Linked DNA regions of Macaca fascicularis. The protein of the gene in region 4 interacts with the protein of the main gene of each other region in a pairwise test. Links are inferred from orthologs where the notes say so. Each region holds a gene or a part of one and is shown on either strand. Other genes may lie near its edges.

Region 1 (3,222 bases), on a different chromosome or scaffold from region 4:
CGACACACTGGGCCTGACCCAGCTCATGTCTGTGGTAGAACATCTTGGTAACTTGGCTTTCTGTCCCATATCTGTCTGATCTCCATTGTATTGAAAGCACCCTGTTGTCGCAGAGAGCAGGAGGCTACTTTGGGAGAGAATGACTCCCAGCTCTGGACTTGCTAAGCATGATTGGCTCTAGGATGAGTGAGGCCATCCAGGACCTCAGCTTCTTTTAACGTGAACAGACCATGCTCTTGTTTGGAGTCAAAGTATGTGGAGAAAACTCCTTTTTACTTTTTCTCATTTCTTATCTTTTCCTTTAGTAGCCAAAATACACATGCATGAGTGGCTGAGAACCAAGTGTATATTGAGGTTTGAAAGGTACCCTTTATGAATAACTCTTAGGAAGTGTATTGACTGTTAGGACGCCACATACATACACTTGGGCCCAGTGCTTCCTGGATCCTTTATGAATAGTTTTATAACTCATTGTTTTTATCACAGTATTAAGAGATCTGCCACCTTTAGTTAGTTCAGCTTGAACAAAGACTTACATTGGGTTTTTAAAAAAACATTAGGTTTACATTGGGGTCCTTTTTTGCTCTTCTTTCAAACATTCCTTTTTTGGTAATTGCTTCTGATTTATCCTGTCATTTAGTTTTTTGTTTTTTTTTTTTACTGTTCCCTGCACCATAGACAGTTTCCTTGGGAACTTGTTTACTAAATAAACAAGATTTCCCTGTGATGGTTTCAGTTTTATGGAAAGTCTAGTTTTTTTTTACATGTAGCATTTTCTTTGACCACCTTTGGGAATTGCACCTGTACCCTCAGGCACCCTGCAAGGATTTAGGCATACATGCTTGCTAATACCTGACCACCTAACGGTGAAATCACTCTGAGTAGATACAGTTGGACATTCATGCAGTGATTTTTCTTTGTACGAGTAATGTTCATTGTACGGCATAAAGCCACAAAGCTTTCATTGGCCTTTTGTACATTAAAAACAGCGCCCTCTCTGAAATAAGTTTAAGTGTGGAAAGCATGTCTCCTGCTAAGGTGGAGGGAACTGGCAGCGTGGTTGTCATCTGGCTGCTGAGCCCTCCAGCCTCCGTCCACAAGCACTACTACTTCCTGCTCCACGGGCAGCTTCCAGGAGGTTAAGAAGCAGCAGCTGGGGGTGGATTAGATATTAGAAGTGGATGAGAGTGTTCAGTTAATGAAGGCTTGTGCAGATGGGGATGTGGGTCTGACCCAGGGGTTGGCAAGTTGCAGGTGGCTGCCCATTTTTGTAAATAAATTTATATTGGCACATAGCCACATCCCTTCATTTATATGTTGTCTGTGGCTGCTTTTGTGCTGCCCAGCAGAACTGAGCAGTTAAAACAGAGACTGGCCTCTAAAGCCTGAAGTGTTTACTGTCTCACTCTTTAAGAAGACGTTTCCCCATCCCTGGTCTAACCCAATATTGTCTGGAGAAAAATCTAGATAAAGTCGTATCTTGGAATGACTAATTCTGTGTAGTACCAGACAGATTAAGAAGTAAAATCATTTCCATTGGTCTGTAGTACATTTTGTTAGCAACAAAATAGTTTTCTTGATTATTTTAAAAACATCAAATGCATAGAGGTTTTACAATTTGATTTAACTGTATTTCCAGTTAAAATGTCTTCTCTTTCTTCCAGTGTTGAATATGAAACATTCGATATATTGGAGGATGAAGAAGTAAGTTCTGTGTCTGATGTTTCACCTTTGTCTTAGCTTTAATCATAAGGGCCTGACAGGATGGTTTCCGGACTCTTGTTTCTTTAGGTTCGGCAAGGATTAAAAGCCTACTCAAATTGGCCAACGTACCCTCAGCTGTATGTGAAAGGGGAGCTGGTGGGAGGATTGGATATCGTGAAGGTAAGTCAGTTCTTCTGCTCTTCTAAAGAACGGAGAAGACTTTGGTGTGTTTAAAAATGATTTCATATTGAATGGAAACTTGAGAGTTGTTTTTGACTCTTGTTTCCAGCCTGACTCTCAGGCATTTCTAGACCAGTATCACCGTTTCTGTGTGCATAAGTACCCTGCCATTCTCACTGTCCCCACCTGGCAGCCGGTTCTTACTTCCACACCTGAACTAGCCATTTCATCCCCTTTCTGTGGGGTGATCTTACCTGCCACTCAGGGTCCTTGTGAGATCCTGCTTCAGCTCCCAGCCAACAAATTATTTTTTCTTGCGTTACTCACCTGCCCTTGGGTGCATGGACTGACAGCAGTGTGAGGCCTATGGCCCAATGCTGCCCATCCTTGCCACAGAGGCTGAAGATCACTGCCCCTGGTCCCCCGAGAGAAAAAATGTAGGTCGCTTTTTGGTTTTCAGATGTTTGGAAATCTGTTATCTGTTAGATTGTAAGTGTTTTAGAGAAGACACCATTTCTTATGTATCTTGAGTCCTTCCTGATGCTTTGTGTATTTTAGGAGTTCAGTAAATGGTTGTTGGATGAATAAGTGACTTTACTTCTTGCTTGAGTTTTAAATGGACATGACTTTGCTCATATTTAATGTCTAGAATTTAGGGCAGGCCCACCAACTAGCACCTGTGTGCTCCATAGCTCTTTGATTAGCCCAAAACAGTAAACAGAAGCTGTAGCTTTAATATCTACCCACAGGCCCCACTGCACCCCAGGCCCACTGTGGGCATGGTGGTATCGAGGAGGGTGGTAGCCGGGTGGGTATAGAGAGGAGCTAGACAGGAATGTTGGGCAGGAATGCCAGGTTCTGCTCGGGGACAAGAACAAAACTGCCCCAAAAGGTGGGCTGCCGACTGCCCTCAGACCTTCCTCTTGCCTCAGTCCATTAGAGAATTTTCTGTGAGGTCAGATCTTCCGACTTTTTATGTGGAAAACAAATAGCAAGTAGTACTACTTCTAGTTATGTTGTAAAATAAATTTTTTTTTTTTTTTTGAGACGGAATTTCACTCTTGTTGCCCCGCTGGAGTGCAATGGTGCAATCTTGGCTCACTGCAGCCTTTGCCTCCCAGGTTCATGTGGTTCTCCTGCCTCAGCCTCCTGAGCAGCTGGGATTACAGGCGCACACCACCACGCCCCACTAATTTTTGTATTGTTAGTAGAGATGGGGTTTCACCATGTTGACCACGCTGGTCTTGAATTGCTGACCTCAGGTGATCCGCCCGCCTTGGCCTCCCAAAGTGCTGGGATTACAGGCGTGAGCCACCGCGCCCGGCCAAAATAAAAGTT
Region 2 (4,108 bases), on a different chromosome or scaffold from region 4:
ATTCTTATAGCCATTCATTTTCTAATTGTTTGAATACAAGTTTATGGTTGAAAATTTAGAAATAGATTATAAAATCCACCTGTACACTCACCACATGGAAATAAAAACTAGTGACATTTTATTTTACAAACCAAAAATTTAAATGAATGCTGTTCATGTAGTTTGTGTGAATTCTTGTCACTTAACATTGTATCATTGGGGCTGGGCACGGTGGCTCAAGCCTGTAATCCCAGCACTTTGGGAGGCCGAAACGGGTGGATCACAAGGTCAGGAGATCAAGACCATCCTGGCTAACACAGTGAAACCCCGTCTGTACTAAAAAATACAAAAAACTAGCTGGGCGAGGTGGCGGGCGCCTGTAGTCCCAGCTACTCGGAAGGTTGAGGCAGGAGAATGGCGTGAACCCGGGAGGCGGAGCTTGCAGTGAGCTGAGATCCGGCCACCGCACTCCAGCCTGGGCGACAGAGCGAGACTCCGTCTCAAAAAAAAAAAAAAAAAAACATTGTATGGTAGTAGTTCCCCAGGTGATATATAGAAACCGTGTCGCATTTCATTATACGAATGTATCACTACACATTCAGTAACTTTCTCGCTGTTGAAACTTTGGGTTGTTTTCAGTTATTTTAAAAGTTTGTATTTATAATTTTTGGTTAAAATCCTTATATAGATGTGTGTCTACATGTTTGTTTATTTCTTTGGGGCAGTCTATGAAAAAGAATTAATGCGTCAAAGATAAAAACGTTCTCCCCACTCTGGGATGTGAAGCTCGGTTTGGTTTGAGGGGCTTGGCACCTTTAAGGACTTACTTTCGCCAGACATACATCTACCTGCTTTACGGTGACCCTGTGAAATCGATGCTAAGATTATGCCCATTTTACAGATGTGCAAACTGAGACATAGGGAGGCCAGTGTTACACAGTAAGCAGGAGAGCCTGTACGATTCCAGCCACGCTGAGTCTGGAGTGGTCGGTCCCAAGCAGGGTACATTTGCTCCTCAGGGACGTTGCTAATATCTGGAGACATTTTTGATGGTCTCAGCTGGAGAGGGTATGTAGTGGGCAGATGCCGGGGATGCTGCCAAGCACCCTACAATGCACAGGACGGCCCCCACAACCAGGGATCACCTGGTTAAACATGACAAGGGTGCCGGGGGTGAGAGACCCTGGTCTGGAACCCCATTTTTCACCAGAGTCCCCCAGTACCTCTCCCATTTTTTTTTTACATTAGTCCTATGGGATGCAGGGCAAAGGTAACAGCAGGAAACTCATCTGAGCAGATCCCATTCCCTCCCCTCTGACCTGCTCTCGGTGGTTGTGAGATGAGAGTTGTATTGGGAGAGGATTTGAGACATTATTTTCATTTGAAAGCTTATAGGATATTTATGACAGTCTTTCCTTACCTGCCTTCCCCCACAAAACCAGCTTCTTCAGATACACAATCTAAGTAAGAAAAGTCTGCTTACTTTGAAAACACAGCTTCAAGATAATCTCCCAATTTTTTTTTTTTTTTTTTTTTGAGACAGGGTCTCACTCTGCTGCCCAGGCTGGAGTGCAGTGGTGTGATCACTGCTCACTGCATTCTTGATTTTCTGGGTTCAAGTGATCCTTCCACCTCAGCAACCCCCTATCCACCCAGTAGCTGGGACTACAGGTGTGCACCATCACGCCCAGCTAATTTTTGATTTTTTTAGAGACAGGATCTCACTATGTTGCCCACGCTGGTCTCAAACTCTTGGGCTCAAACAAGACACTTGCCTTAGCCTCCCAAAGTGCTGGGATTACAGGTATGAGCCACTGCGCCTGGCCTAGTCACCCTAATATTTATCACAAACTCCCTCACCCTCTTCCTTTTTTTTTTTTTTTTTTTTTTTTGAGACGGAGTCTTGCTCTGTCGCCCAGACTGGAGTGCAGTGGCGCGATCTCCACTCACTGCAAGCTCCGCCTCCCCGGGTTCCCGCCATTCTCCTGCCTCAGCCTCCTGAGTAGCTGGGACTACAGGCGCCCGCCACCACGCCTGGCTAATTTTTTGTATTTTTAGTAGAGACAGGATTTCACCGTGTTAGCCAGGACGGTCTCGATCTCCTGACCTCGTGATCCGCCCGTCTCGGCCTCCTAAGGTGCTGGGATTACAGGCGTGAGCCACCGCGCCCAGCTGAAATCACCTGCTTTCTAACTGCCAGATCACCTCTGCTTAAGCCCTTGGATCCCCAGCAGTGGAGGGGCAAATGCAGCTTGGCTAGTCACATCACATGCTTTATCACGTTTTGATTTAACCCTCAAATGGCTGTAAGGGACAGAAACCTACCGGGTTTAACATAGGAGAAATTGATCCTCAGACTCTCCCCATGCTCTGGCTGGCATTTGAACCCCGCTGCTTGGACAGCAGCTCTTTCTCCTGAGTCAGGTGCCTAAAGCTAACCCCTTGGGGGCTTTGTCCTTCAGGGACTAGAGCAGCAGCCCCCTTCTCCCCCAACTTCTGCCTGCCATCTCACCTTCTCTCCACGGAGCTCTCCTTTGTGGCCTCGGGTCCCGAGGGAGAGGAAGATCCTGAACCTCTGTCCTTGACTCTCCGAGGCCCCCGGTCCTGCAGGAGGCTGTGAGCGTCTGGGCTGGAGAAAGACTGTAGGGTGGCTTTTGAACAGGAATTGATTGCAAAACTGGTTTCTGTTAAGTGCTGCAGGAATAAAAAAAGCGAAACTCTCGGGCTCTTCCAGGAAATCATGGGCTCCAGCTGTGCACTTTCATTTTCCTTTTTGCCTGTTTCTCTAACTGCATGCACAACAAGATGAAAGAGCAGAATCAAAGTCAGAAGGCCTGAGTCTCTCGTCTCTGTCCTGGCTGTGTTATAGGATGGACCTATATGGGGTATGAAAATAGCTCCTGTGGCTTAGAGCTATGGTGAGGAGCCCATGAGCAAGCGATGGGGCACCTGATGAATAGTGGATTCACAGTAGCGATCATCACTGATTGTTCTGAAACTGCTTCCCTCCACAGCATCTTGATGTGGATAACAGCCCTATGAGGTGCACGGCCGGCATTTAAGGGCTAATAACTCTGAAATGCAGAATCCTCTGAAAATGGAAACTTTTTTATTTTATTTTTTATTTTATTTTTGAGATGAAGTCTTGCTCTGTTGCCCAGGCTGGAGTGCAATGGCACGATCTCGGCTCACTGCAACCTCCGCCTCCTGGGTTCAAGCTATTCCCCTGTCTCAGCCTCCCCAGTAGCTGAGATTACCTGCGCCTGCCACCACGCCTGGCTAATTTTTGTATTTTTAGTAGAGATGGGGTTTTATGTTGGCCAGGCTGGTCTCAAACTCCTGACCTCAAGTGATCCACCCACCTCAGCCTCCCAAAGTGCTGGGATTATAGGTGTGAGCCACTGCACCCGGCCTGAAAACAAAAACTTAAAAAAAATAAATAATTTATTCATTTAGTGGCAAAACCTGACCTGATCTGGCATGAATTCACTTATGGTTTTTATGTCTCTTGCTTAATTTGAATATTCACTGTCACTGCAAAAATATTAATGTGTTTGACTGAGGAGGGCTGCTGGGGGTGGGTGGGTTACATAGTACGTGATACCTGAACCCCATTACTTTTCTAAAAATTAATTGGGAACTCTGACATGCATATGGCCTCAAGGATTGGAGATACAGGATGTGATACTCTGTCTCCCACTTTAAGGAAGAGGAAACTCAGGCTTCTAGAAGTTAGTGATTACACAGCTAAGAACCAGTCCTAGGCGCTGTGTCTGCAAGAATGAGCCCACAGTGTGGTTACCGGCTGAGATCTGTGTCTCTCTAGCATTTCTGTCAAGTTGTGATCAGAAGTCACGTGGTTTGCAGAAATCCCCAGTCACCACCCCTAGCTGAGGCCACACTGGGTGCTGTTGCTTTGCAGAAGGCGTGGCCCACCTAGCCAGTCCTGCCTTTGCGACGATGGAGGCCACCTCCTCTCCCTTGGCCCTACGAGCAAGAATGAGGGGTTAAGCGCTGCTGAGTTGGGTCCTGTAGGGGCCTTTCCAACCCTGGCATCCCAGATTCCACAAGCCAGCCCTGCTGTGGCCTCCCACACTTGGAGAACACTCTAAACACAGCCTGACCTTGA
Region 3 (3,066 bases), on a different chromosome or scaffold from region 4:
GTGCTTTAAAAGAAAGTGTATTCTGCAGTGTTGGGTATGAAGTTATATATGCCCATTATGTCAAGTTTATTAATAATTTTTAAATTTTCTGTAACTTTCACTTACATTTTGGTCTGCTTTTTTTTTTTTTTTTAACAATTATTGAGTAAAGTACATGTTAAAGTATATTTTAATCTACTATGATTGAAGATTGCCTATTCTTTGCTTGTATTTCTGTCAAATTTTGCCATATATATATATGTATATAAATTTTTTTTGAGATAGAGTCTTGCTCTGTTGCCCAGACTGCAGTGCAGGGCTCACTGCAATCTCTGCCTCCCGGGTTCAAGTGATTCTCTTGCCTCAGCCTCCCGAATAGCTGGGACTACAGACGCCCACCATCACGCTGGCTAAATTTTGTATTTTTAATAGAAACAGGGTTTCACCATGTTGTACAGGCTGGTCTGGAACTCCTAGACTCAAGCAATCCACCTCGTTGGCCTCCCAAAGTGGCCAAAGGGATTACAGGCATGAGCCACCACGCCCAGTCAAATTTTATCTTATATATTTTTGAGTCAATTATATAATATATCCCAATTTCAGAAATACATACTTTAAAATCCATGATTTACAATAATATTGTTTCTGTGTGCCCACTCACTATGTTACATTGCTTAAGCATGATTTACACAATCCTAAATCATATAGAAAAAGTCAGCATTATAATTAAAAGTTAAAATTATATACTTTATATCATGTATGTGCTTCAGGGCTTCATTGACATCTCTTACTAATCTTTAGTCAGTGGCTTAAATCCGTGCTTCTTAGACTATCTATGGTAAAAGACAAGTGTGGGTTTTTTCCCCCAACCCATTACAGTCTGGCATATGGTCCTACTATGCAAGATTCGCTTACAGTTCGTGTCACATGCAACTAACCACGGGAGTTTGACAAAACTTTAACTCCTATACGCTCCGTTCAATGAGACAAGGCCACTGATCACACTCTTGGATGTCATATGACTGTAAAATTTTCTAAACACTCTCAACTCTGTTCTTATCTCTTGCAGACTAGTAACATTTTGTAGACCAGTACTGGCCACAGACCCCACTTTGAGTAGTACTGACTTAAAATATCACCACCAGGCCAGGCGTGGTGGCTCACGCCTATAATCCCAGCACTTTGGGAGGCCGAGGCGGGCAGATCACGAGGTCAGGAGATCGAGACCATCCTGGCTAACACAGTGAAACCCCGTCTCTACTAAAAATACAAAAAATTAGCTGGGCATGGTGGCAGGCGCCTGTAGTCCCAGCTACTTGGGAGGCTGAGGCAGGAGAATGGCGTGAACCCGGAGCTTGCAGTGAGCCGAGATCGCGCCACTGCACTCCAGCCTGGGAGACAGAGAGACTCCGTCTCAAAAAAAAAAAAAAAAAAAAAAAAAAATATATATATATATATATATCACCACCTATTTCAGTAATCAAAAAATGGGAAATTTAGAATTACCACATTATCAGAAAATTTTGTTTAAAATCCTAGGTGAGGCCAGTCATGGTTGCTCAGGCCTGTAATCCCAGCACTTTGGAAGGCTGAGGCGGGTAGATCATTTGAGGTCAGGAGTTCGAGAGCAGCCTGGCCAACATGGTGAAACCCTGTCTCTACTAAAAATATAAAAATTAGCTGGGTGTGGTGGCACACGCCTGTAATCCAGCTACTCAGGAGGCTGAGGCAGGAGAACTGCTTGAACCCAGGAGATGGAGGTTGCAGTGAGCCAAGATTGTGCCAGGGTACTCCAGCTGGGCAACACAGTGAGACTCTATCTCAAAGAATAAAAATAAAATAAAATCCTAGATGAAAATAAAGGTAAATCTGGTTCATTCTAGGACTCTTTGTTTCTTCTAACAATATGAATATGTTTCTATTCTTTTTAAACATTTCTGGGTTTGAGTAGTTCTTTTCACTTTACTCTTTTAATAGCCAAAATCAGGTATTTGTAGTGACTGCAGTCTCCATCTTCTGGCCTTGTATTGATGAAAAGCAAAACAACCACCCCAAATTAACTGCTTTTATTATTTTCAGATGAAATTATTTTACTTCAAGAAAAATAGGGCTTGGCCCTTTATCTCTGACTGCTCATCAAATTATCTGAATGGCTTTGCCTATGAAAGAGAAATGGAAGGGGAATAAATTGGAATATTCAATAACTATTTTTATGTGATTTTTCTATTTTCAGGTATCAATCATGGAGATCTTAATGACCATAATATTTTAATAGAGTCCAGCAAGTCAGCCTCTGGAAATGCTGAATATCAAGTGTCTGGGATTTTAGACTTTGATGACATGAGCTATGGCTACTATGTGTTTGAACTGGCAATTACCATCATGTACATGATGATTGAAAGCAAAAATCCTATACAAGTAGGAGGCCATGTCCTTGCAGGGTTTGAAAGCATCACCCCACTGACAGCTGTAGAGAAGGGTGCTTTGTTTTTACTTGTATGCAGTCGTTTTTGCCAGTCACTTGTCATGGCTGCATACTCTTGCCAGCTATACCCAGAGAACAAAGATTATTTCATGGTTACTGCAAAAACTGGGTGGAAACACTTACAGCAAATGTTTGACATGGGTCAGAAAGCTGTAGAAGAAATCTGGTTTGAAACTGCCAAATCCTATGAATCTGGGATCTCCATGTGACTGAGATCTCCATGTGATTTTAACGTGGGTAATTAAAATAGGGCCCAATCAAATTTTAGGAAGGATTTTCCTGTATAGTTAAAAATCAATTGATGGAATGGATCAATTCTGAATATGACAGAGCACATGAAATCCCTAAGGTCTTCAAGCAATCTCATGACAATTTTTTAAAATTCACAAAAGTACCACGAGCAAGCATATTTTTCTGTGAGTCTCACTTGCCATGTCTATAAACACATATGATACCATTTTGAATCAGATAATCTCACAAGATCTATTCCAGTCCTGAGATTAATGACTGTTTTTAATTTTTAAAATAATATATACATACAGATATATTGACATATTTTAAATATCTGGACATAACATACTGACCTAGATAACATACTAGCA
Region 4 (3,500 bases):
AGAGGAAAGGGGAGGAGTCTAGAATGATTTCCAGGTAAGTTGAAAATCCTAATGGAGTCAATGTTTTATTTTAATCTTAAAAAATTGTTTAACTTTTGTGTGGTATTTTTGTACTGATTCATTTGAAATATTAGTTAATAGCTTGCTAAATATCCTTGGTTGAGATCATTTGATTTTCAAAATGTTTTGATCCTTTCAATACTTATTTCCAATAAGTATACTTTATTTTCTAACTCTGGTCCTTTTGATTTTGTTCTAAATTCACTTTCGGCGTTACTTTTATGATTTACTAACTCTTTAACTTAATATACCTGCATGATGAATATATTTCAGAAATTTGAACGAAAATAGTATTCTTTCCATATATTAAAGTTAGTTCGCTTAAAACCTATATAAACATTTTAGGTTAAAACTTTAATGTTCATAATTTAAAATAACAATATACTTGTTTTAGGTGTGTCTCTTAGATATTGTAGTTATTTTAAACTTAATAATTACTTTCTGCTAATGCATACTATTTGTTTAGGCCCATGACATGGTTAACTGACTATGTAGACTTCTTAATTTAAAAAGAAATGGCAAAACAGACAAAATGCTGCTAAAGAAATTTGCAAAGGTCTCAGAGAGGGAAGAATAGAAAAGAAAAAGAATAGCAGTATTCATCTCTACCTGACTGCTCCCCCCACCTTCCATTTTCAAATTCCAAGTATTTAGTTGAATACTTGCTGAATTTTTTTCAGTATTTTTATTGGACTTGTTTAAAAAAAAACACAAAACTTAGGTTTGCTGCACTTAATGAGTTTTCTTTCTTTTCTTTCTTCTTTTTTTTTTCCTTTTTAATATGTAAAAGCACATATCAGAGCTAATTTTTCCCACGTGAAATGGGCCTTTCCAGTGCTTATTTATATTTACAGGACGGTTTAATACAGCAGTGTGGTGAGACAATGAAGGAAACAATTAATGTGAAAACTGTATGTGGCTATTACACATCAGCAGGGACCTATGGATTAGATTCTGTAAAGAAAAAGTGAGTTACCTTTCTCATTTTTCTTCCTATCCCACTTTAGGAATTTGGTTGCTTTAGTTTCTTAAGAGAATGTATAGCTATAAGAAGGAAAGAATTAAGGAAAATTAGGATAGGGGAATGGAATTTTGTTAAATAAAAAGCCCATTTTAACTTTTGGACTAATTAGTAAATTCCTCAAAAGTATTGCCTTTGTCAGTGACCATATGGGTTATATATATGCTTATAAAAACCTTGGTCACTCTTGGTCAGGTGTAGTAGCTAACACCTGTAATCCCAGTGATTTGGGAGGCCAAGGCAGAAGGATCACTTAAGCCCAGGAGATCATGACCAGCCTGAGCAACATAGGGAGACCCCATCTCTACAAAAAATTTAAAAAATTAGCCAGGCATGGTGGCATGCACCTGTGGTCCCAGCCATTCTGGAGGCTGAGGTCAGAGGATTCTTTGAGCCCAGGAGGTTCAAGACTGCAGTGAGCTGTGATCATGCCACTGCACTTTATAGTATATTTTCTATTAAAATTGTTTAAGAAGTAGGCCTGATAGACATTATATCATTGCAATGACTGACAGTCCTTCTAACTCTTGAAAGTTGCAGTACCTGTTTTGAGATTTTAAAGGTTATAGTACTATGCAGACCCCTTGATAAACTATTTAACACAAACTCAAAATGAAGTTTTAAAACTAGAAATGCTCTCATTAATATAAAGGAAATATTCTCTTAATAATATCCACTGACAAAAATAATACTAAATTTCCTATTGTTAAGTTAAAAGTTTTGAGCATGTTCTGGCAAGATTAATATTCTGATTTTAACTATAAGTCCTACTTAATAAATTGTAAATACATGGTATATAATATAATAATTATATGTTTTAATTTCAGGTGCCTTGAATGGCTTCTAAACAATTTGATGACTCACCAGAATGTTGAACTTTTTAAAGAACTCAGGTATTTGAATTTCAAGTAACTTTATAATTAGTCATCCTAAAATATTGTTTATCATTTGTTAAAGTACGTAACATTTTTGTAGAACACAAAAATATGAAAAAGCAAACAATTTAATGAAAGGGCTTGACTACATCCATAAGCTGAAGAAATGCTACACAAACTTATTTCTTTGTTGTGAATAATATAATGGATATTATGTCTACCGTTTTAACCAATTTTAATAGAAAAATGCATTACTGTTATAAGACTATAGAAAAGTTTCAGGTTTTGCCAGACTTTTAGAGAATTTAAAAGGTATATTTTAAAAATCATCTTTATTATTGAGAAATAAGTTTGAAGAAACTGTTTTGGCCTTTTTTTTTTTTTTTAACCTTCAAAAACTTTTCATGTTGATCGGTTTTCTCACTAGAATGAATTCTCTGATGTGGCGTAACAAATGTGTGGCTCCTATAAATGTACATTTTTCCGTCTCTGATTATTTCACTCCTTGAATTCAAATCTGTAATCCCAGCTACTCTGGAGGCTGAGGCAGGAGGATTGCTTGAGCCATGGAGGTCAAGGTTGCAGTGAGCTGTGATTGCGACACTGCACTCCAGCCTCAGTGTGAGTGAGACCCCATTGAGACCAAGTTACCATAGTTCTTCACTGTCACCTCCTGGTACAAGGTCTTCTGAACCAGGTCAAGGTATTCCCACTCCTGATGAGAGAAGTCTATGGCCATGTCCCTGAATGTTACGAATTCGCAGGCCATGGTTTTAGACAATCAAAAGCCAATCAGTCCTCAGGGTTTCTCTACCAGAAAAGCAGATTTAGGAAAACCTAGACCTGTAATCCCAGCACTTTGGGAGGCCAAGTTGGGAGGATTGCTTGAATCTAGGAGTTCGAGATCATCCTGGGCAAGATAGTGACGTCCCCTCTCTTTGAGAAAATAGCAGTCTTCCTTTAAAAAAAACTGTTAGCACCACACAGGGTCCCATGCAGGCTTCAGGCTGGGGCTGCAGAGGCTCCCACAGTCAACTGCACTGCCTTCATCTTCAAGCGGGACCCGGTCGCACACAGCACAGCACAGAGCCAGAGGTCCTGGAGATGGAGCCAGAGGGCCAAGATTTCTCTGTCACCTGTGGACCATGTAGTCCAAGCTGGAATAATAGGACCGCAGTCACCCATGAGAAATGGATTCCAGGGTTCTAAAAACCTACAAGATATATGGCGGTGACAATGAGGACTGCCCACCACCCAAGCTATATAGCAGTCTTTCTTTATTAAAGAGATGGGGGCCTTGCTATGTTGCCCAGGCTAGACTCAAACTCCTGGGCTCAAGCAGTCCTCCCACCTCAGCCTCCAAGTAGCAGGGATTATAGGCACATACCACTGCACCCAGCTTAGTTTGGCTTTTTGGATTAAGTACGCATATTATCCATTTATTCCTGCAGCAAGTACTTCCTAACTGTTCATTATGTAAAGATACTCTGTTTGTGGCTGTGAAGGATGCAGAGATGATTTTGTCATGGTCTCTTGCTGTCAGG
Region 5 (4,200 bases), on a different chromosome or scaffold from region 4:
CACCTGCAAGACAGCAGGAACTCAATAAAAATGGGGTGAACTGATCTGCTGGCTTGACTGGTCAGTGTTTACCTGAGCAAGAAGATGTCATTTGACTCACCCCAGCGCCCCACTGCCTCTCAGGCACTAACCTTGTTCTTACGTCCATCAATCTCAAAGAAGGAGATGGTGCCCTTGCGGTAAATCTCATTGCCTGGAGGATGTCGTAGGTCGCACTTGGTCTGGAGAAGAGAGGACAGTCAGGAACAAGGGCAACGTGGAGAGTGCTGGGAAGGCAGCTTCCCTGGACCCCTCATACCAAGTGACGCTGAAGACACTTGAGGCTACGGCCGTACTTGAGGCAGAACTCGCACAGGTAGAGAACAGGCAATGTGGTGAGCTCCTGTGGGTACGGGGAGAAGTACCACGGCTTGAGGCGGTGCCGGCCCAGCTCAATGCACTCGATGTTCTTCATCCGGGTGACGATGTCGTCGTGGCTTCGGTCAGACACCAGGCTGCCAGTCATGCGTGGTGCTGATGGTATTCCATCTGAGCTGTCCTGGGAGTCCTGCCCAGGGCCAGTGGAAAATACCAGGTTAGAAGAGACAGCTCAGCAGGACACCACAGCTCACAGCCCTTTGACAGGTTTCCTGCAAGCCTAACGGCAACCCTATGGGGGAGGTACCATGATCCCCAATTTCTGGATAAAAAACCTGAAACCCTAAGGGATTGATGATGTGGAAAAGATCACTGAATGACCCTTGTTTTTGAGATGGAGTCTCACTCCGTTGCCCAGGCTGGAGTACAGTGGCATGATCTTGGCTCACTGCAACCTCTACCTCCGGGGTTCAAGCAATTCTCCTGCCTCAGCTTTCTGAGTAGCTGGGATTATAGGTGCCTGCCACTACGCCTGGCTAATTGTTGTATTTTTATTAGAGACAAGGTTTCACCATGTTCGTCAGGCTGGTCTCGAACTCCTGACCTCAGGTGATCTGCCCGCCTTGGTTGGCCTCCCAAAGTGCTGGGATTACAGGTATGAGCCATGGCACCCAGCCCCAATGACTCATTTGAACCATGTTCTGCCTGGCTCCTAATCCCACCAACACTAGCCCCGCCTACCACCCCTTCTTTATTTTTAAACTCATCACTAACTCTCCATCCTGCTTGCATCCCTTCCTTTTCACCCAGCTCCTTCTGTTGCTCCCCAGACCCACCTCATCAGTGCCCAAACAATTCGATTTTCGCTTCCGTCCTGGCTGGGCTGCCACTGCCCTACGGGCTGCTCCATTCTGCAGATATAGTAGTAAAAGAAGGGATGGCTGTGAGATGAGCCTGAAAAAGGCCACCAGAGAGTAGAAGAGAGAAAGGGAACAAGAAATGGTTTGGGAAACTCACCTGGGGAAAAACCGAGGCCGGGGCTGTCTCGCTGGGCACTGGAGTTGCTGGTGAAACCACCTCCACCTTCCGTTTCTGCAGAGAGAAACCAACAAAGGTGGGTCAGAAGGTAGAGAAGGTGGGACCTGAGAAGAAAGCAAGGTCCCTGGAATTGCTGAGGGTACCGTTGAGCGGTGGTTGGGCTGCAGGCAGGAGCTGGAGGAGAGCGGCTGGTCAGGCTCGCCACCGGGAATGGCCTCCCGCTCCTTGGGCAGGTTGAAGCGGAGTGTGATCTGGACCGGGATTGGCAAGGTCTTCCCGCTTGCCTGGGCCGAGGCCGGCTGTAGAGATAGGTCCAGGGTCTTCCTCTGGGGCGGGGATGGCAGTGGAATGGGGAAGGGGAACAGGGGTCCCTCAGCTCAAAATTATCAAACCCCACCCTCGCCTTCTGAAGGACACAGGACTAGCTACTGGACTCTGGGAGCTACATGTGCAATTCGGCCCCCATCCTTTGCAAGATGAAGTCAGGGTGAGAGGGAGCCGCCTACTGCCCATCCAGGAGCCCCTAATGCCAACAGATAAGAGAAACACGAGGCAGGAGAGAAGAGGTGAAGTGGGGGACCTACTCACCACCTCTCTCTCTGGAGAGCCGGGACGGGACCCAGGAAGTCCGTTCTTGGTGGGGGTCTTGGCCTCTTTCTTCGGGAACTGGATCTTCTTTAGGTCCAGCCGCTCGTGCGTCACCCATTCATCCAGACGTTTGTTGACTGCAGCAGTGGGGATGGCTCAGGACAGAATGCCAAAGACTGTTCCCCAACCCTACCCTGATGCCCCACCTCAGGCCCAGAACTCACAGTCAATGTAATGGACGTAGAAAAGCTTCCGGCCACTGATGTCCTTCACGCTCAGGATCTCGGCCAGGGCTATGGGAATAGCATAGGCAGGGGCCTTAGACGGGCCGGGCCAGGCTGAGACTCCACCCTTCCACGACCTGAACTCCACCCCAAGGCCGGATCCCTAAGCTCCAGCACTTAGAAGGTCTCTCCTAAGCCTCCTTCAGTCACTACTGGCACCGCTTTCCAGGCCCCGCCCTGTACCTCTCGGAGCAGCTAAGAGCCACGCCCCTTCATGGGAGTATCTGCGCCCCGCCCGCCCCATAATTCCAGAGGCCCCTCCCCATCCCGGGGGTTCAGTTGACTCCCTCCCGCCCCTCGCCCTCAGGTTCCTTAGCCCCGCCCCCCAACGTCACTCACGCCACTCATCTTCGTTGTCCTGGTTCCGCCGCAGCACGGGTAGGCGGCAGCCCTCGATTATCTCCCCCTGGGGAGACAGCGCGGCGCCAGGGTCGGCTACTGGGGGGCCTCGGGCTCTACCCACCTCCCCTGGCTCCCTCCGCCCCGCCCCGGGCACCGGACTCACCACCTCCGCCATCTTCCCTCCCTCCACTGCCACTTCCGGCCCCTGTGGGAGACGTCACTTCCGGGACCGAGCCCGCTGTAGGCCCGGGCCTCACGAAGCCCCTGTAGAGGGGGACCTTTGAGAGTCACCGCGACCCAGTTGCAAGGGGCAAGACTGCCCCTGTGACTCCTGGGAAAACGAAGTGTTACAAGCCTCAGGCCGAGTCCTAGGTGGAAACCCCACAACGTGCACAGCGATTGGAGAACTACTGAGTCTGTCACGTGACGCCCACCGGGTGCGACGCTGTTCACGTGGATGCGGAGCGGGTCACGTGGCAATACCGTTTGGGCTTTGACGGAGGGCAGTCCTCGGGCGTCTCCTTGTGGCGGCGGGAGGTGTTGTCGGGAGTGAACTGCGCGCGAGAGGCTGGAGAAAGGAACTGGGCTTAGAGGGGCTCGAACGCTCCCCCAGGTCTGTGGACTTCATTCCGTAGGCAGGAGGACTCAGGGAAGATTTCTAGCTTTATTTCGTGTATTAGGCTTCTTTTATTTTTGAGACGGAGTCTCGCTCTGTCGCCAGGCTGGAGTGCAGTGGCGCCATCTCGGCTCCCTGCAACCTCCGCCTCCCGGGTTCAAGCGATATTCCTGTCTCAGCCTCCAGAGTACCCAGCTAATATTTGTATTTTCAATAGAGGCGGAGTTTCACCATGTTGGCCAGGATGGTCTGGATCTCTTGACCTCGTGATCCGCCCGCCTCGGCCTCCCAAAGTGCTGGGATTACAGGCGTGAGCCAGGGCGCCCAGCCATATTAGGCTTTTTTTTTGAAACAAGGTCTGTGTCGCCCAGGCTGGAGTGCAGCGGGGGAGGCATAATCTCCGCTCACTGCAGCCTCCGCCTCCCTGGATCAAGTGATCCACCTCAGGCTCCTGAGTAGCTGGGACTACAGGCGCGCACTACCAAGGCTGGCTAATTTTTAAAAATTTTTGCGTAAACAGGATTTGGAGACTGGGCATGGTGGCTCACACCTGAAATCCCAGCTACCTCCAGCCTAATCATGAGAAAAAGATCAGACAAATACCAATTGAGAAACATTCTACAAAATACCCCATGAATACTCCTCAGAACTGTGAAGATGTCACTGGTGGAGGGTGTCCAGATTCTTGGCATCTTAAAGAATTGGACAAAACGGCTGGGCCCGGTGGCTCACGCCTGTAATCCCAGCACTTTGAGAGGCCGAGGCGGGCGGATCACGAAGTCAGGAGATTGAGATCATCCTGGCCAACACGGTGAAACCCCGTCTCTACAAAAAAAAAAAAAAAAAAGATACAAAAAATTAGCCGGGCGTTTTGGCGGGCATCTGTGGTCCCAGCTACTCGGGAGGCTGAGGCAGGAGAATGGCCTGAACCTGGGAGGCGGAGTGTGCAGTGAGCCGAGATCATGTCACTACACT
Region 6 (3,500 bases), on a different chromosome or scaffold from region 4:
CTCACATGATTGTTGGCAGAATTTAGTTCCTCGCAGATACAGAACTGAGGCCCCTACTTTGTTGCTGGCTGTCAGCTGGGGGCCACTCTTCGATCTTAGAGGCCCCTACAGGTCCCTGCCATATAGCCTTCTCACAGGCTCTCTCACTTCACCGTGTGACATTTCTTCAAAACTAGCAGGTGAGTCCCTGGCTTTGGTCTGCTAATAATGGAATGTAATCATGGAAATGACTGTCCCATTGCCTGGCTATATTCTGTTGGATAGATGCAAGTCACAAGCTCCATCCCCACATAGTGATATGACTCATTGGAGGTCATCTTGGAATTCTGCCTGCTCTACTCAATTTATTAACCTGGAAATGATTGTAAAAAAGCTATTACATTTCTTGCCAGGGGAAGGTGGGAGGTATGTGTAGGAAGAGGAACTTCTATTCATGACTGTGAGAAAGGAGAGTTATTGTAGCCTTTAAGTAAAGTATCTTTCTAAAACAGATACTTTTTTAACCCAGTCAATCCAGTCTTGAGAGTCTACTTTATGGAAATAAAGCCTCTAATATCCAAGGACATAGGATAAGGATATTTATTGCAGCATTATTAGCAGTGGCAGAAAGCTAGAAGCAACGTCAGTGCCCATCAGTAGGGGGAGTGGTTGGATAGAGCATGGTACGTTTTGGAATATTATACTCCTTTACAAAAATTAGTTACACACCAGTTGACTTTTAGGGATTTGCCAGAGGTATTGTTGAGTGAGAAGGGCTAGATGGAGAAAAATGACCTAGTTATTTGGGTCAAGGGAGGGCGTAGGAAGTACAAACTCCCTAGTATGTATGCTTGTGTGTCTGTATATGATTACATGTCTGTAGAGAAAACTATGGAATGGTATATACTAGATTTTTAGTGGGTGAGAGGCTGTTGACGAATATTCAGGTGGAGAGAGGGTGCCAAGCAAAAGAAGAAAAGGAAAAAGGAACCGTGTTGTAAAGAAACAGTCTCGTCCCACAAGTCTAATGTATGTGATGTGGTCATATGTAAAACTTGATTTATATGGTAGACAATATGAGATTTTAATGGATTAATTTGAATTGAAATTTAGTTTAGTTTAAATGTAACAATTTTAATTGATTAATATCTGGGAATATTCCTATTTCTTGGTATAGAACTTTCAAATGGATAATGAGTATTTTCAGTGTACTTTAGCGCTTTCTGTTGTCAAAATGTGTTATCTTAATTTTAAAGTCAGTAACTGGCATTCAGACACCTTAAGTACAGAACAGTGTAGCAAAAAAGGGAGGGTTGGGAATTAAGGATTAGGTATTATTTCAAAAAATCTTTATTCAGCCCTATTAGGATTTGAGCAGACTCACAGCTCTTACTAAAACTGTGACGTCTACTTAAGTTATTTATATATCCAGAGTTAAGTAGAAATAACTTTTATTTCAGTTTCTATAATCAAAGTTCTAATTTTGACAAATCTTCCACATTGGGGGATTTACAAAAATGAATGAAACATCTAATTTTTAAATGCGTTTTCTTCTAGTGTCTTTTTCTGAAGAAGAGAAATATCAGCTACGAAAATTTGTCAATAAATCTTATCTGCTGGACAAGAAAGCCTGTCGTCAAGTGTACTACAGTTTGATTGATATCCTTTTGGCATATTGCTATGAAACCCGTGTCACGGAAGGAGAGAAGAATGTAAGTGCTTGTATGTGTGCGTGTTGCCATAGATGACTGTGCTGAGTAAACTGCATTAAAGCATCAGTCTTTCTTGTCTAGAGTAGAACTGGTGGTGATTAGTTATTCAGGGGATGCCCCCGGCAGGGTTGCGTGTGTGGGGTGGTGGTGGTGGGTACCCACATGCAATCATACATTGCTTAGTCGGTCTTTTTCAGTTTTCTCTTGGGATTAGTCTCTGCAAAATAGCAGAGTAGGGAAGTTTAAGGGAGTAAAGCTGAGAGTAGGGAGGAAGGCTACTCTGAGCCCTCATCTCTTTTAGGCCAGAGAAGTGCTCTGTCACATGACACTTCACATTGGCCAGGGGGTAAACTACCATACCCATTTATATTCTTTCTCTCAGCCAGAAGTCAGCAGATGCAAAATATGGCATTTTACAAAATAAAGAAATCTTAGTATTTACCTGCAAGTGTCCCTCAATTCATAGAGTATGTGGATTTCTGAAAAATTATATGTAAGTCAGATTTTTTAAAACCTGAATTATATCTTTTTTTGCTATTTAAATGGATCATGTTATAAAAGTATATCTTTTTGTAAATTATTTCTTAATCTTTTAAAAAATAATATAGACTTTATTGTATTTCTTCTTAAACCATATTTGATGTTGTAAACTTCCTTTTCACCTATACCATTGATTGTGTATTTAAAAAGGCTGGAAACCAAAAAAACAGCCTTTCTAGTTAGTGTGGTGCTGCAGCTGTTTATAATTGTCCTCGCTCTAAAGGTTATTTTTGATCTGAGCATAACTTTCCTTTTTTGAATTACACAAATCATTTATATTGTAAAGGAAAATATACAAACGAAGGAAATAATTAAGATTTCCTGTAATTTTAGTCATGAGAAATAACCGTTGTTACGTAGCGATGTATCTATTTCCAGTCTTCTTTCAGTGTGCACATGTGTCTATATTGTGTGTATTTACCTTGGGTCCTAATGTATATACTATTTAACCTGCTTTTTTCACTCAACATTATGGCACTAGGATGGTATTAGAGTTAGAATTTTCTGTGTACCAATTTTTTTGTTGTCATGATTCTGAAAATTTCTAGGGTGACTCTTGACGTTTGTGTCTGACTCCAAGATGACTATTAATTGAGTGTGCTAAGGCTACTTAATATATCTGAAAATACTTTTGGTTTTCACTCATCTTTTAAAGATACTGTAAATGGAGAAAATGTTTTCTTTGACAAAAAATGCTTCATATTAAATCTTGAAAAGATGAGTGTTTAGGTATACTTGAAAAAATTTACCATTTTTTATTCTTGTATTTGTGTATTTAAAATCATCAAGTCTTACAACTTGAGACCTCCTCTAGAATGTGCTTATTCTCACCAGCATTCTCTGAAAGATCAAATTTTCTAGCAGCTTCTTAAGTGCCACAGGTAATACTTCAACATTATCTTTGATTCCTTTGATAGATTATTTATGGATTGTTTGGGAGGCATGTAACTTAGTTGAAAAAGGACAGAAATTGAGCAGGGATTACTTTGCTTTAACTTTTAGTTTCAAAACCCCTGGTTATTTGCTCTTGTGTTCTGGTACTTTTATCAGTAGAAAAGTTTTATTTTCAAAAATCCCAAGTAAAGTAAACAGAAACTTCCCACTGATAGTCTCTGCATCAGCAAAATAATTATTTTTCTATAGTTGTGAACACTTCTTAGTTCTCATATGTCAGTGATCCTCAGACACTGGTTGAAAAAATGGATTTCTTTGGTTTGTTTAAATGACTTTACCTTTAATGTGATGGTACTCTTTTCTCCAAAACAAATA
Region 7 (4,047 bases), on a different chromosome or scaffold from region 4:
AGTAGAAGTCAGACTCGCTGGAGAAGAGTTCAATAAACAGCAAAGATCATGTTTTTGTTTTCAAAACAAGGTCTGGCTTTGTTGCCCAAGCTGGAGTGCAGTATCGTGAGCTTGGCTCACTGCAACCTCGCCTTTCCCTCTCGAGCCATCCTCCCACTTTAGCCTGCTGAGTAGCTGGGACTACAGGCTCACACCACCACACTCGGCTAGACTATTATCTTTGTATTTTTTGTAGAGATGGGGTTTCACCATGTTGCCCAGGCTGATTTCAAACTCCTGGGCCCAAGCAATCCGCCTGCCTAAGTCTCTTAAAGTGCTGGGATTATAGGCATGAGCCACCACACCTGGCCAGCAACCAAGATTTAAGGCAGGAGTAGTGTTGGAGAGTGACAGTAAGTCAGGAGCTAAAACAGGAGGTCAGTAGATGATAGTAACAATGGAGATTGATTAGTATATAAGTTCCTGTATTAACTTGAAAATATACATCCAGGAGCAAACAGTAAGGTAAATTGTAGTCCTGCCTCATTGCTCTTAACAAGGGCTGCTCCAGTTGATACTCAGAACTGCAGTATAATAAGAGATTCTATTTCTTTGCATGTTTCTCAACACTTGGTATTATCTTTATAACTCTAGTCAATTTGATTATCTCATTATCTTACAGTGTTTTTCTTATTAATAATACTGATCATCTTGTTAGCCATTCAGTTATCCCCTCCTTGTGAATGCTGATTCATATCATTTGCCCATTTGTAAGTTTGTGTTGACCTTTTACATACTGATTTGTAGGAGCTCTGTATATATTAGAGAACTGAGAAATTTGGGTTGAGGCCGGGCGCGGTGGCTCATGCCTGTAATCCCAGCACTATGGGAGGCCAAGGCGGGCGGATCACAAGGTCAGGAGATCGAGACCATACTGGCTAACATGGTGAAACCTCGTCTCTACAAAAATACAAAAAAAATTAGCTGGGCGTGGTGGCAGGTGCCTGTAGTCCCAGCTACTCGGGAGGCTGAGGCAGGAGAATGGTGTGAACCCGGGAGGTAGAGCTTTCAGTGAGCTGAGATGGCGCCACTGCACTCCAGCCTGGGTGACAGAGCAAGACTCTGTCTCAAAAAAAAAAAAAAAAAAAGAAAGAAATTTGGGTTGAAGTTTGCTTTTTTTTTTTTTTTTTTTTTTTTTTTTTTTTTGCTTATGGTGATTTTTACTATGTTTGAACGTTTTTTAAGAGAGTCTTGCTCTGTCACCTAGGCTGGAGTACAGTGGCATGATCTCAGCTCACTACAAACTCTGCTTCCCAGGTTCAAGTGATTCTCCTGCCTCAGCCTCCCAAGTAGCTGGAACTACAGGTAAGCGCCACCACACCCGGCTAATTTTTTGTACTTTTAGTAGAGATAGGGTTTCGCCATGTTGGCCAGGCTGATCTCGAACTCCTGACCTCAAGTAATCCACCTGCCTTGGCCTCCCAAAGTGCTGGGATTACAGGTATCAGCCACCGCACCTGGCCAAACTTTAATTTTTGTACTATAATATGTGCATAAAACTTATAGATTCATTTTAGGGTAACTGGCATCTTAATAGTATGTATTATAAGTCTTTGTTCAAGTCTTTTAAGTTATTTATTTCAGGCCGGGCGCGGTGGCTCAAGCCTGTAATCCCAGCACTTTGGAAGGCCGAGACGGGTGGATCACGAGGTCAGGAGATCGAGACCATCCTGGCGAACACCGTGAAACCCCGTCTCTACTAAAAAATACAAAAAACTAGCCGGGCGAGGTGGCGGGCGCCTGTAGTCCCAGCTACTCGGGAGGCTGAGGCAGGAGAATGGCGTAAACCTGGGAGGCGGAGCTTGCAGTGAGCTGAGATCCGGCCACTGCACTCCAGCCCGGGCTACAGAGCGAGACTCCGCCTCAAAAAAAAAAAAAAAAAAAAGTTATTTATTTCAGAGCTGAGATGGGAGGATTGCTTGAGCTGGGAGGTGGAGATTGCAGTGAGCCAATGTCACACCACTGCACTCCAGCATGGGCAACCAAGCAAGACCGCGTCTCAAAAAAAAAAACCCTATGTTTATATCTTTTGCTACTTTTTCCTTTTTTGAGTACTATGTTGAATATTAGCAACCTAATAGGCATCCTCTCTAATTAAGCTCTCCGATAAGTATGTCATTTCCCAAACAAAAGCCTAGATTCATCTGTAATATAATGACACTCATAGTGACAGTGAGGGGGCAAAAATAGTTTTTGTCCTGAACAATCAGTTAATGGTGGTGCCACTTGCTGAGACAAAGAATACAGGAAGGCTAGGCATGGTGGTTCACGCCTGTAATCCCATTTTGGGAGCCTGAACAGGAGGATTGCTTGAGCCCAGGGGTTCAAGACCAGCCCAGGCAACAACATAGTGAGACCCTCATCTATACAAAAAATACAAAAATTAGGCCGGGCGCGGTGGCTCATACCTATAATCCCAGCACTTTGAGAGGCTGAGGCTGGTGGATCATGAGGTCAGGAGTTAGACACCAGCGTGGCCAATATGGTGAAAGCTCTACTAAAAATACAAAAATTACCCGGGCGTGGTGGCAGGCACCTGTAATCTCAGCTACTCGGGAGGCTGAGGCAGGAGAATCACTTGAATCCGGGAGGCGGAGGTTGCAGTGAGCCAAGATCACGCCACTACACTCCAGCCTGGGTGACAGAGCAAGACTCCATCTGGAAAAAAAAAAAAATTGCAAAAATTAATGGGGCGTAGTGGCATGCACCTGTAGTTCCAGCTACTTGGGAGGCTGAGGTGGGAGAATCTCTTGAGCACACCACTGCACTCCAGCCTATGCAACACAGCAAGACCCTGTCTCAGAAAAAAACAAGAATACAGGAGGAAGAGCAACAAGATGGAATTCAGTTTTAGAAGCCGTCTGAAGTGCCTGTGGGCTACCCAAGTAAAGATATCCAGTAAGTAGTTCTCCTTAAGGGCTAGCACAGAATGCTAGGCTAGAGGTGAAGATTTGAGAGCTCTACATTTTTTTTATAGATGTTAACTGAAGCCACGGGCATGCAGGAGATCAATTCAGGGACAGTATATGTAGAGTGAGAAGAAAAGAATGCAGAGGGGAATGAGAAGGTCAGAGAGGTAAAGGGAAAACCAGTAGAAGTACAATGTGATGTTAACTCCCCAGGCAAGGCCCACAATACCTTCTCCCAGAGAAGCCTTAATGCCTAGGATCCTAGGGTCACAAAGGGATATCCTAGGATGTTTTGACTCTCTCTTTCTTTTTGCCAGTTGCCAGGTATAAACTCCGAATTGTTAAGCCACCAAAATTACCCCTAGAGAAAAAACCCAACCCTGATAAGGATGGTAAGTATTGAGTTCTCTGACCTGTTTCTGTGACCTGGGCTGGAGACCAAGGGCACCCAAAGCCAGTGGGCTGCGGCACACAATCTCCTTTTGTTCTGCACAGGTCCAGATTATGAACCCAACCTCTGGATGTGGGTAAACCCCAACATCGTGTATCCCCCTGGAAAACTGGAGGTCCCAGGACCTAGGAAGAGGGAGGATCTGACAAGCACACTTCCCTTGTCTCAGCCACCACAGAAGGAGGAAGATGCCAGCTGCTCAGAAGCCACAGGGGTGGAATCACTGTCCCGGTCCTCCAGCAAGTGGTCTCCCCCTCGGAAGCGCTTTGCCTTTTCCCCCAGCACCTGGGAGGTATGGATCTCTGGGGGTGGGAGCCGGACTTGGGCAGTAGGTGAGGGGCATGGGGAAGAGCCATCACAATTCTGCTCTCTTAGCCATAGCAAAAGGCGAATGGGTTCAGAAATTACCTTCATGCTTGGGTTGGGGAGAAGCCCAGATGGTGGCCTTAGACCACCCCCCCTTCCTGCCACTGCACCCTGGAGTAGAGGCTGAGGAGTCAGGACCAGTTCCTACTCTGTGCTCCTCTAGCTCACAGAAGAGGAGGAGGCTGAGGACCAGGAAGACAGCTCCTCTGTGGCTCTCCCATCCCCTCACAAAAGGGCCCCCCTCCAGAGTCGGAGGCTTCGGCAAGCCAGCAGCCAGGCGGG

The links.
Region 1: the proteins of GMCL1 (region 4) and GLRX3 interact in a two-hybrid assay, tested with the Homo sapiens proteins (2 studies listed by BioGRID and IntAct). The two-hybrid records come from large-scale screens. The link is inferred for Macaca fascicularis from reciprocal best matches to the Homo sapiens genes GMCL1 and GLRX3.
Region 2: the proteins of GMCL1 (region 4) and APOL6 interact in binary tests that used the Homo sapiens proteins (3 or more experiments, as listed by UniProt). The two-hybrid records come from large-scale screens. The link is inferred for Macaca fascicularis from reciprocal best matches to the Homo sapiens genes GMCL1 and APOL6.
Region 3: the proteins of GMCL1 (region 4) and HYKK interact in a two-hybrid assay, tested with the Homo sapiens proteins (2 studies listed by BioGRID). The two-hybrid records come from large-scale screens. The link is inferred for Macaca fascicularis from reciprocal best matches to the Homo sapiens genes GMCL1 and HYKK.
Region 5: the proteins of GMCL1 (region 4) and KAT5 interact in binary tests that used the Homo sapiens proteins (3 or more experiments, as listed by UniProt). The two-hybrid records come from large-scale screens. The link is inferred for Macaca fascicularis from reciprocal best matches to the Homo sapiens genes GMCL1 and KAT5.
Region 6: the proteins of GMCL1 (region 4) and SHQ1 interact in binary tests that used the Homo sapiens proteins (3 or more experiments, as listed by UniProt). The two-hybrid records come from large-scale screens. The link is inferred for Macaca fascicularis from reciprocal best matches to the Homo sapiens genes GMCL1 and SHQ1.
Region 7: the proteins of GMCL1 (region 4) and FOXR1 interact in binary tests that used the Homo sapiens proteins (3 or more experiments, as listed by UniProt). The two-hybrid records come from large-scale screens. The link is inferred for Macaca fascicularis from reciprocal best matches to the Homo sapiens genes GMCL1 and FOXR1.

Annotation. Positions count from the first base shown.
Region 1 is NC_088383.1:139,143,082-139,146,303, forward strand, and holds part of GLRX3 (glutaredoxin-3), read left to right. Parts: intron 1-1,664; coding exon 1,665-1,704; intron 1,705-1,791; coding exon 1,792-1,884; intron 1,885-3,222. UniProt on the Homo sapiens protein: Together with BOLA2, acts as a cytosolic iron-sulfur (Fe-S) cluster assembly factor that facilitates [2Fe-2S] cluster insertion into a subset of cytosolic proteins.
Region 2 is NC_088384.1:16,023,175-16,027,282, forward strand, and holds the start of APOL6 (apolipoprotein L6), read right to left. Parts: upstream 2,801-4,108; 5' UTR 2,722-2,800; coding exon 2,492-2,721; intron 1-2,491. UniProt on the Homo sapiens protein: May affect the movement of lipids in the cytoplasm or allow the binding of lipids to organelles.
Region 3 is NC_088381.1:55,894,907-55,897,972, forward strand, and holds part of HYKK (hydroxylysine kinase), read left to right. Parts: intron 1-2,212; coding exon 2,213-2,673; 3' UTR 2,674-3,066.
Region 4 is NC_088387.1:52,099,680-52,103,179, reverse strand, and holds part of GMCL1 (germ cell-less protein-like 1), read left to right. Parts: intron 1-850; exon of another isoform or gene 851-881; coding exon of another isoform or gene 882-914; coding exon 915-1,027; intron 1,028-1,908; coding exon 1,909-1,974; intron 1,975-3,500. UniProt on the Homo sapiens protein: Possible function in spermatogenesis. Enhances the degradation of MDM2 and increases the amount of p53 probably by modulating the nucleocytoplasmic transport.
Region 5 is NC_088388.1:8,657,189-8,661,388, forward strand, and holds the start of KAT5 (histone acetyltransferase KAT5), read right to left. Parts: upstream 2,801-4,200; 5' UTR 2,785-2,800; coding exon 2,607-2,784; intron 2,277-2,606; coding exon 2,208-2,276; intron 2,121-2,207; coding exon 1,984-2,120; intron 1,722-1,983; coding exon 1,539-1,721; intron 1,450-1,538; coding exon 1,375-1,449; intron 1,269-1,374; coding exon 1,194-1,268; intron 548-1,193; coding exon 299-547; intron 222-298; coding exon 132-221; intron 45-131; exon of another isoform or gene 1-44. UniProt on the Homo sapiens protein: Catalytic subunit of the NuA4 histone acetyltransferase complex, a multiprotein complex involved in transcriptional activation of select genes principally by acetylation of nucleosomal histones H2A and H4.
Region 6 is NC_088376.1:135,847,341-135,850,840, reverse strand, and holds part of SHQ1 (protein SHQ1 homolog), read left to right. Parts: intron 1-1,536; coding exon 1,537-1,691; intron 1,692-3,500. UniProt on the Homo sapiens protein: Required for the quantitative accumulation of H/ACA ribonucleoproteins (RNPs), including telomerase, probably through the stabilization of DKC1, from the time of its synthesis until its association with NOP10, NHP2, and NAF1 at the nascent H/ACA RNA.
Region 7 is NC_088388.1:117,848,819-117,852,865, forward strand, and holds the start of FOXR1 (forkhead box protein R1), read left to right. Parts: upstream 1-1,247; 5' UTR 1,248-1,262; coding exon 1,263-1,344; intron 1,345-2,753; exon of another isoform or gene 2,754-2,876; coding exon of another isoform or gene 2,877-2,937; intron 2,938-3,265; coding exon 3,266-3,340; intron 3,341-3,443; coding exon 3,444-3,691; intron 3,692-3,928; coding exon 3,929-4,047. UniProt on the Homo sapiens protein: Transcription factor which acts as both an activator and a repressor.